2 linked regions of the Bombyx mori genome follow. The protein of the gene in region 2 interacts with the protein of the main gene of each other region in a pairwise test. Links are inferred from orthologs where the notes say so. Each region holds a gene or a part of one and is shown on either strand. Other genes may lie near its edges.

The links.
Region 1: the proteins of CCR4-NOT transcription complex subunit 1 (region 2) and CCR4-NOT transcription complex subunit 11 interact in binary tests that used the Homo sapiens proteins (3 or more experiments, as listed by UniProt). The link is inferred for Bombyx mori from reciprocal best matches to the Homo sapiens genes CNOT1 and CNOT11.

Annotation. Positions count from the first base shown.
Region 1 is NC_085125.1:1,935,676-1,939,510, forward strand, and holds part of CCR4-NOT transcription complex subunit 11, read right to left. Parts: intron 2,239-3,835; coding exon 2,073-2,238; intron 1,566-2,072; coding exon 1,437-1,565; 3' UTR 1-1,436. UniProt on the Homo sapiens protein: Component of the CCR4-NOT complex which is one of the major cellular mRNA deadenylases and is linked to various cellular processes including bulk mRNA degradation, miRNA-mediated repression, translational repression during translational initiation and general transcription regulation.
Region 2 is NC_085107.1:17,975,649-17,979,583, reverse strand, and holds the start of CCR4-NOT transcription complex subunit 1, read left to right. Parts: upstream 1-1,175; 5' UTR 1,176-1,733; coding exon 1,734-1,835; intron 1,836-1,942; exon of another isoform or gene 1,943-2,083; intron 2,084-2,748; exon of another isoform or gene 2,749-2,859; intron 2,860-3,935.

The sequences.
Region 1 (3,835 bases), on a different chromosome or scaffold from region 2:
TTAACTCACATTTGCATGCAGTAGGAACAGCGCCACTAGCGGCAAACGTAGGTAAACATTGCTGTAATTCAGTGCGGCGAGTCAATGCGTATAGCAGAGAATATAACAAAATAATACAAATATCGTCTTCTCGCATTAAAACTGTATATCTCAAAACTTACTAATTTTACAGGAGAGTGTTTTAAAGGTTTAATATTTTTCATAATATTATTATTAATTTAATATTTAATATTAATCATATTTGCAACAATTTTTTTTATCAGTTACATTATCTGTATTTTAAAGTAAGATAAAATTATGTGCATATTAATTATGTTAATAGTAGTCAAAACATAGGTAAACTAAAAAAAAAACATTTAACTAAACTACGCTCTTTTGACAGTATTTACGAGAAAAATAATGGTGATACCAAATGTTTACGCATATTAACTAAATTTCGAATATTTTTGAATATTGTACACTTTTAATGCGAAACGGCGAATAAGTTTTTGTAACATGGGCGTTAAATTGAATGCCTCCACCGACCTTGAGACAAGAGGTCCGTATGTCAATTGTACAATGATCGATGCGCTCTTCAGTACGTAATACATTCAAATGATTCATGACTTAACTCTGCAAACTACTGCCCGTTCTCTAGTGAATCACATAGTCGCCTTTTACAATAGACACAGAATGTTACACAAAACCGATGCTGTCTGAGACACTTAACAAGATAGTATGAACACATCACTAAATAACGTAACAAAATCTAAAACTACACAATATTCCCAGTATTAACTGACGAAGGCAAAACAATGTTTATTTCACATCAATTTAAATGTATTCAATTCCATTTATTTCCATTTACATAGATCAGTACACAATCAATACTTTATAAAATTAAATATCTCAAATACTGCACTCCAAATGTTCTATCCGGCATATCTGGATAATGTATGTATTCTAATCTGATTATTTCAATCAATACTTTATTATTATTACTATCACAATTTTCACAGACACTCGATATTTACCATAACTTTATACGCACTAAACATTGTATCGGTTATGTTCACAGACGTAGGTCCTGATAGAGCCTGCATTACCTTTTTGTGTGAGAGTGGACATTATTTCGTTGATGCTATAATAGTTGTTAGGTTCAAAACTAGCTGTCACAGCTGCCGGCTAATGTCTTATACCCGAGATATCACGAGTTTCACAAATTTAGAAAATAGGTCTTAGAGTGTACAAGTTTCCAATTGCTTATTACACAATTAATCCACAAAACTATTGAACGTTTAACACGCCACATCACAATTGTAATCACCGGTGGAACTGTTATAGTTTCAATGTCACAGCGGTGCGGTCAGCTGTTAGCTCTCCGATTGGCTGGGGTCCCAGACGTGAGGCCGGCGCTACCTATTCGTGTTCGAGTAAACCCTGCTCTTGTGCCGTCGCTAGTTATCCTTGGGGTCCTTGTGGGCAGCCTCGCCGGAGTCCAGCTGCTTCAGGAGCCGAAACAGCGCAGCGGCCTCTCGGATCCGGCTGAACTCAACGCAGAACGCTTCCACTTCTATGAATAGCTCCTGGAAAACATTTGAAAAATCATATAATAATAATATTAGTAATATTTAGGTAGTAATATTTAGGTTAGCCTCTTAAAATACAAGCACGTACAAGAATTCTTAACACTAGTATAATAATATACTTTTTTATGAGGTATACAATAACAATATGAATTTTCTTTGCACCTTTTTTTAAAGTGATTACACTAGAGTGTAAGCATGTTATAGAGTTATACCTCAGATTATTACTTTCTCCCGAGTTCATCAAGACAAGACAAGGAGTTCTGTGATCTTGAACATAAAATATCTAACAAAGATACTTCTGCATCACTTACATTTATTATGTGCTATTACAATATATAGAGAACATGCTACCCATTAGTAAATCTCTTAGTCGCCTTTTAATTACCCCTTGCAGGGACAGATGGGCTGGTACTATTTTAGGCTAACACCACAGTGTAAAAATTTTATTAACATCAGATCTCAGTCTTACAACAAAACATAAAAATTAAATAACCAAGTAAATACCTTCACATTGATGATCTTGTTCCTTATCAGCGACTGCAGGAAGACACACACCAATCGTACGAGCCTGTTTTGCATGTATCTGTCCCGTATTGTCTCACACGTCGAAATACAATTGCTTATGTAGAGGTGAACGAACTCCACCGGCAAATCCACTGAGGTCGTTAACCTTAAAAAAAAACATTATTTTACTGAAACATTTTTTGTCACTTGCCTAGATTGATTTTAACCTATTGTTTAATCCATTTTGCTAATTCAAAGTTAACACAAATTAAAAGCATATACATGTTTACATACAATATATTCTCTTTTTATTGTCTTTGTAGTCAGACGAGCATCCGGTCCACCTGATGGTAAGTTGTCACCGTCACTCGTGGATGTCAGCAATGCCAGGGGCAGAGCCAAGTCACTGCCTGCCATTCGCATTCTTATTTTTTTAATTTAACTGTCCAAATCGTTGGAAATGGATTCTCAGGTTCTTTCAAAAAGTCCATTGAACTCTCAGTAAATTCCCACCATTGTTTTGAACAATTGTTTCATTTTATCACCTTCGTCATCCACCATGTTGTATTATCTCACCTCATTCAATTCCATTTCTTTTCCATAATCTGACATAGCCTCAGCCTATGTTTGTACAGTTGGTTGTATGGTCTATGATCTCTATGCCTATCCAATGATTGAAAAAAAAAAACAAAAAAAACGTTTATGTTATTTAGGGACAATTTCTGTTATGTTTGACAATATGCTATATTTTACCACCGTTTCCTCCAATAAAAATATTCGCAATGGTTGATTGCACCCATAAGTGGAAATATTTAAAAAAAAAGATTCATTTTATGAAGGCAATTATCAAAATTACTTTTGAAATGACCTGGCTATAATATTACAAATATACTAAGCCATCTATCTATCTCTATGACTCTCTAGTACTGCAATAGTGGTTACGTCACAGGCCATATATTTTTTGTTTTATTTTAACTGCTATAACAAAATTTGCAAGGTTTCAACTATTTCTGTATGTAACATTGAAAGAGCATTGTTTTAGAATTTGCAGAATTCATAATTATTTATGATAACGTGTCCGAATGATAACTGTTGTTGTAACTATACTTGAGACCTTAGAACTTATATCTCAAGGTGGGTGGCGCATTTACGTTATAGATGTCTATGGGCTCCAGTGGCTACTTAACACCCCACCTGGTGAGCTCGTCCACCCATCTAAGCAATAAAAAAAAATGCAAAAAAGACTTCCACTACATATTATTATTTCATGATAGAAGATGCCAGTCATGTGTCAGCAGCATCTAGGACACGGGGGGCAGTCTTATATTCTAGACTAGCGACCCGCCCTTGCTTCGCTTAGGCAACTGTATTCTATTATTGATTATAAAAATAAGACACCATTACTGGTGGTACGACCTCGTGTGAGTCCGCGCGTGTAGGTACCACCGCCCCGCCTATTTCTACCGTGAAGCAGTAATGCGTTTCGGTTTGAAGGGTGGGGCATCCGTTGTGACTATACTAAGACCTTAAAACTCATATCTCAAAGTGGGTGGCGCATTTACGTCGAAATCCTGCCCTGCATGCTAAATTTTATAAAAATCGTTGGAGCCATTTCCGAGATTCAGATTATATATCACAAGAATTGCTCGTTTAAAGGTATAAGATTATTCTAAAGGTTCATCAAAATCCATTTACTAGTTTTTGCATGATAGTCTAACAAAAATTCATTGATACATTCTTACAAACTTTCCCGTTAATAATAT
Region 2 (3,935 bases):
AACCTCGCATGAGACAGAACCCATGAAAAGGCAAAGGGGGGAAAGTGAAGCGTTTAGTGCGGAGCACATCTCTCCCATCACCCTCCCCCTCGGGACGCCGGACCAGCGGTCGTCGGCGCCACGACCACCAGCCCTCTCGGTCGGCAGGCTATCCGGAGCCCGTCTAGATGGCGCCGGTTTGAATGGGTTATCCTACGGAATACCCCGCTGGGTCAGAACCAGCGTGGGTCGAGGATAACCGGCCTTCCATCACCCGGATGCTTTTGCGTAAAACGCGTGCAGAGCAGCTTGCACGTCGTCTTCTTAGGCCCCCTTCGCCGGTCCCCAGACCGACATATGAAGGGGACCCGAAACATTTAGAGGGCCAGGGCTTGGGCGAGATCCGCCTCCCTGGCCCCCGCTCGACGGCGGCGGGCTTGCGCGTCTCTCACGCGCCCCGCCGCCTCCTTCTGCGAGATGGTGCACTCGCAGAAGTCGAGCATCGCCTTCCACGACTCGTCGTCGCCGAGCATCGATGCCAATACACTCGGCAACGACAAATTGTTTCCTATTTTTGCGACGACAGCACGGTGCACACCCCTCCCATGCGGGGCAGGCGACGAGGGCAGCACTAAAACCGCCTTGTTTAGCGGCCAGATGACGTCACAGTGGCACGCATTTTTTGTTGACGTTTCATTTCCATAGGTTTCATACTTCAGTGATCTAGGTGGAGCAGGGTCATGTCATTGTTTTTAAAATAGAGTCAGATCATTTTGTTAAGTGGCCTCTCTCGGTGACAATAATAATATGACAATGCAACTGGGGAAATTGATGCTATGTGTCATACTAAGCGTATGGCGTAATGTTAATATTAATGAGCAAATAGTTTGCGGTGAATTACGTCCCGATCTAGTAGATTCTGATTCTGGTCCAGCGGACTGTCTTAGAGTATTAGCAGTACCGTCTCAATGGCATAGCCTATCGCTGACTGCACTAGTCGAAGTTGAGTAATTATTGCGGATGAAGTCACCGTCGTATTTATAACACATAAACAAAAAGCAAACAAACTTAATCATCACATGAATGTTTGCCCGATGTGCGTGTCGGACTCATGACCTATTAAAGAAATTAGCTTCTCTATTAGCGAGTTAGTCAATTCAAAGTGATACAACGAAATTCATTTTTAGGTAACGTTTCAATGGTTAACGTCAAACTGTGTACTCGTATATGCTAAGGAATACATACGAATTATAACTTCTCTAGTTATCTGGTTTTAACTAAGCTATTAATTGGTAATTTTGGATCTATAGCTCTACACAGAAATTTAAAAAATGCGTTGCATAGAGTCTGTCGGTAAAAAATATTTTATTCCTAGCAACTCTAGATGAGAGTGTTTGCTCTACCTATTGCGAGACGTCCAATCTCTATCTAGTCGGTGCTCTATGGTAACTCTCTGGGCTGCGGACGTTCACGAAAATTTTCCGAACATGGCACGAAGCAGCAGGCAGCCACTTTGGTTCTTTCGTCATCGTGTGCTGATTACTACTGAAATTTAATTTATAAATTGCTGAGTGGGGTGATAATAATTATGTTGTTTTTATCAAAGTGAACAATAAAATTGGTGATGTTGGGCTTAGGTTTATTATCATTTCGTCAGAAAACTACCAAAGAACACAAGTTCGTCGTAGAAAATCATAAAAAATCGAGAAAGCTTCAAACGTGTTTGAAGCTTTCGTTTTTGCATTAATGGAACTATGAACCTGGACTCTTTAACGTTGAGCTTATCGCATATACATTATCTCGTCGTAAATTTAAACAAGAAAAATTTCAAGCAGACGAGTCAAGAATTGAATCAGGTAAGAAAACTACCATATTTTATCATTCTTTGTTTTCTGTTGTCGCCATATTGTGAATATTGGCAGCCACGAACTCTTCGCCTGTATGTGTGTGTAGCGTCGGGTTGTTCTATTTGGATATGTTATCGATCGTTATCGCTTTAATAAGTGCTCTGCGTTAGTTTCTTGTGGACACTTTTGATTTACATTGAAGCGTTTGCCTGGTGGCGCATCTCCGCGGAATGATGTCCGGAAATCTATAGTCATAGGTGGCACCCATTTCATTTCCTTCAGCATTTCATTTGTTAAACGTCAATAATCTGCTGTACATATTACGTTTATGATTCATTATTAATTTATCTTAAGAATATTTGAAAAAAAAGCTAACCAAATAAAGTTGAATGTTTATTCTTTTTTTAAAGTATGACAATTTTATTATTCATATAAGTAATAATATGTAATATAATAAATAAGTTAATTAATTATAACAAAGGTTAGAAAAAAGAAAAAAATTTGAAGGTCATTAATAATGTGTTGTGCTATCTGTGCTAATGATTCAATACAACTTCTTTAAAAAATCAGTTGCTAAATTTGTATTATCATACTACTTAGAATATAATAGTTATTAAAAATGACGCAAGATTATTTCAACATGAAAAACACGTTAGAAATTACCCCACATCTAGTCTTTATCAATGGTTGTTTCAACAAACTAGCCTAGCAATAAGTAAAATGATAATAATTAAACTAGTAGTAAATTGCGTGAAGCATGTTTTTGACATGTTGCTATTGCAACATTGCCTGAGTGATTTTCATTCCGTTTGGTTGCTCTGTTTTACTTCCGTGTGTAAAGATTCTAGGAAACATGTGTTGGACACTGTTCAGTAAAATAAAGTAGCAAAATACAGTTTTGACAGCAAAGGAAAATAACTGCTAGTATATAAATTGTATTGTGGGTAGACATGTGTTTTTTAACTGTCCTTAATACTGAACAAAGAAGACAGCAAACACTAAGGAAATCAATTTAATATTTACACCACTTTAAGTAAGCAATTACTATTTATTTTATTTCCCATTAAAAATACTGAGTGTTTGTTAGATTCTTGAAATCGTAATATTATTTATTATGTTGATTAGCAGATACCTACATACATATCTACTACTAAAATATGAACTCTGTCATAAGAAGACTTAGTATCTGCAGTAATAGATTTGCCTCTGATATTCTGTTAAATACCAACATTTATTTTGTAAAATATATGTTTGTACCTCATGTCTAATAACAAAATGGTAAACAAGTAAATTATTTAATAAAAAAAACAAAACCACTGCATTTAAAATATTAACTGAAATGCAAAAAAAAAAAACATGTAATGTTATTAATTAGGTTTTAGGTATTATGATATTACAGGTAAGGGACAAACCAGTTGTTCAATTGGTGGTGTTTGAATGGAAACAAATAAATTGTATTTCTTTGCCTGTCCTCAGGCAGGTATTTGAACTTTGAAAACTGCTATATAGAACAAGGACTCTCATAAATGTTATAAATGTGGATATATATGCTTATTCCTGTATGACCATGTCTTTATGTTGAACAAAAATTATCAAGATAGATAAGCTATTTAAATATTAAAGTGAACAATCAGGTCAGGTCAGGTAACTTATTTACTTTTATGAAAAATTTGTTACTTTAATTTGCTTGGTTACCTACTACATTTTACTGATTTTAATAACAATATAGTACTCAAATATGACAAATAATCCAGTACTAATAAAAAATAAATAAGTAGTACTCCATTATCACTACATAGTATAAAACAAAGTCGCTTTCTCTGTCCCTATATCCCTATGTACCTATGCTTAAATCTTTAAAACTACGCAACGAATTTTGATGCGGTTTTTCTTAGTAAATAGAGTGATTGAAGAGGGAGGTTTATATGTATAATAATATCCATTAAATAGTGGACAAATCAATAGTAAATTACAGTTTCTGAAGCGTAGCGAGGGCGGGTCGCTAGTATAGTATATGTAAAGCTGTCTTTTTTGTCACCTGGCTTTCAAAATGAACTTTCCTCCTAAATCTTTTCATGTATTTCTTCAAAGTTCAAAAATTGTTCTCAG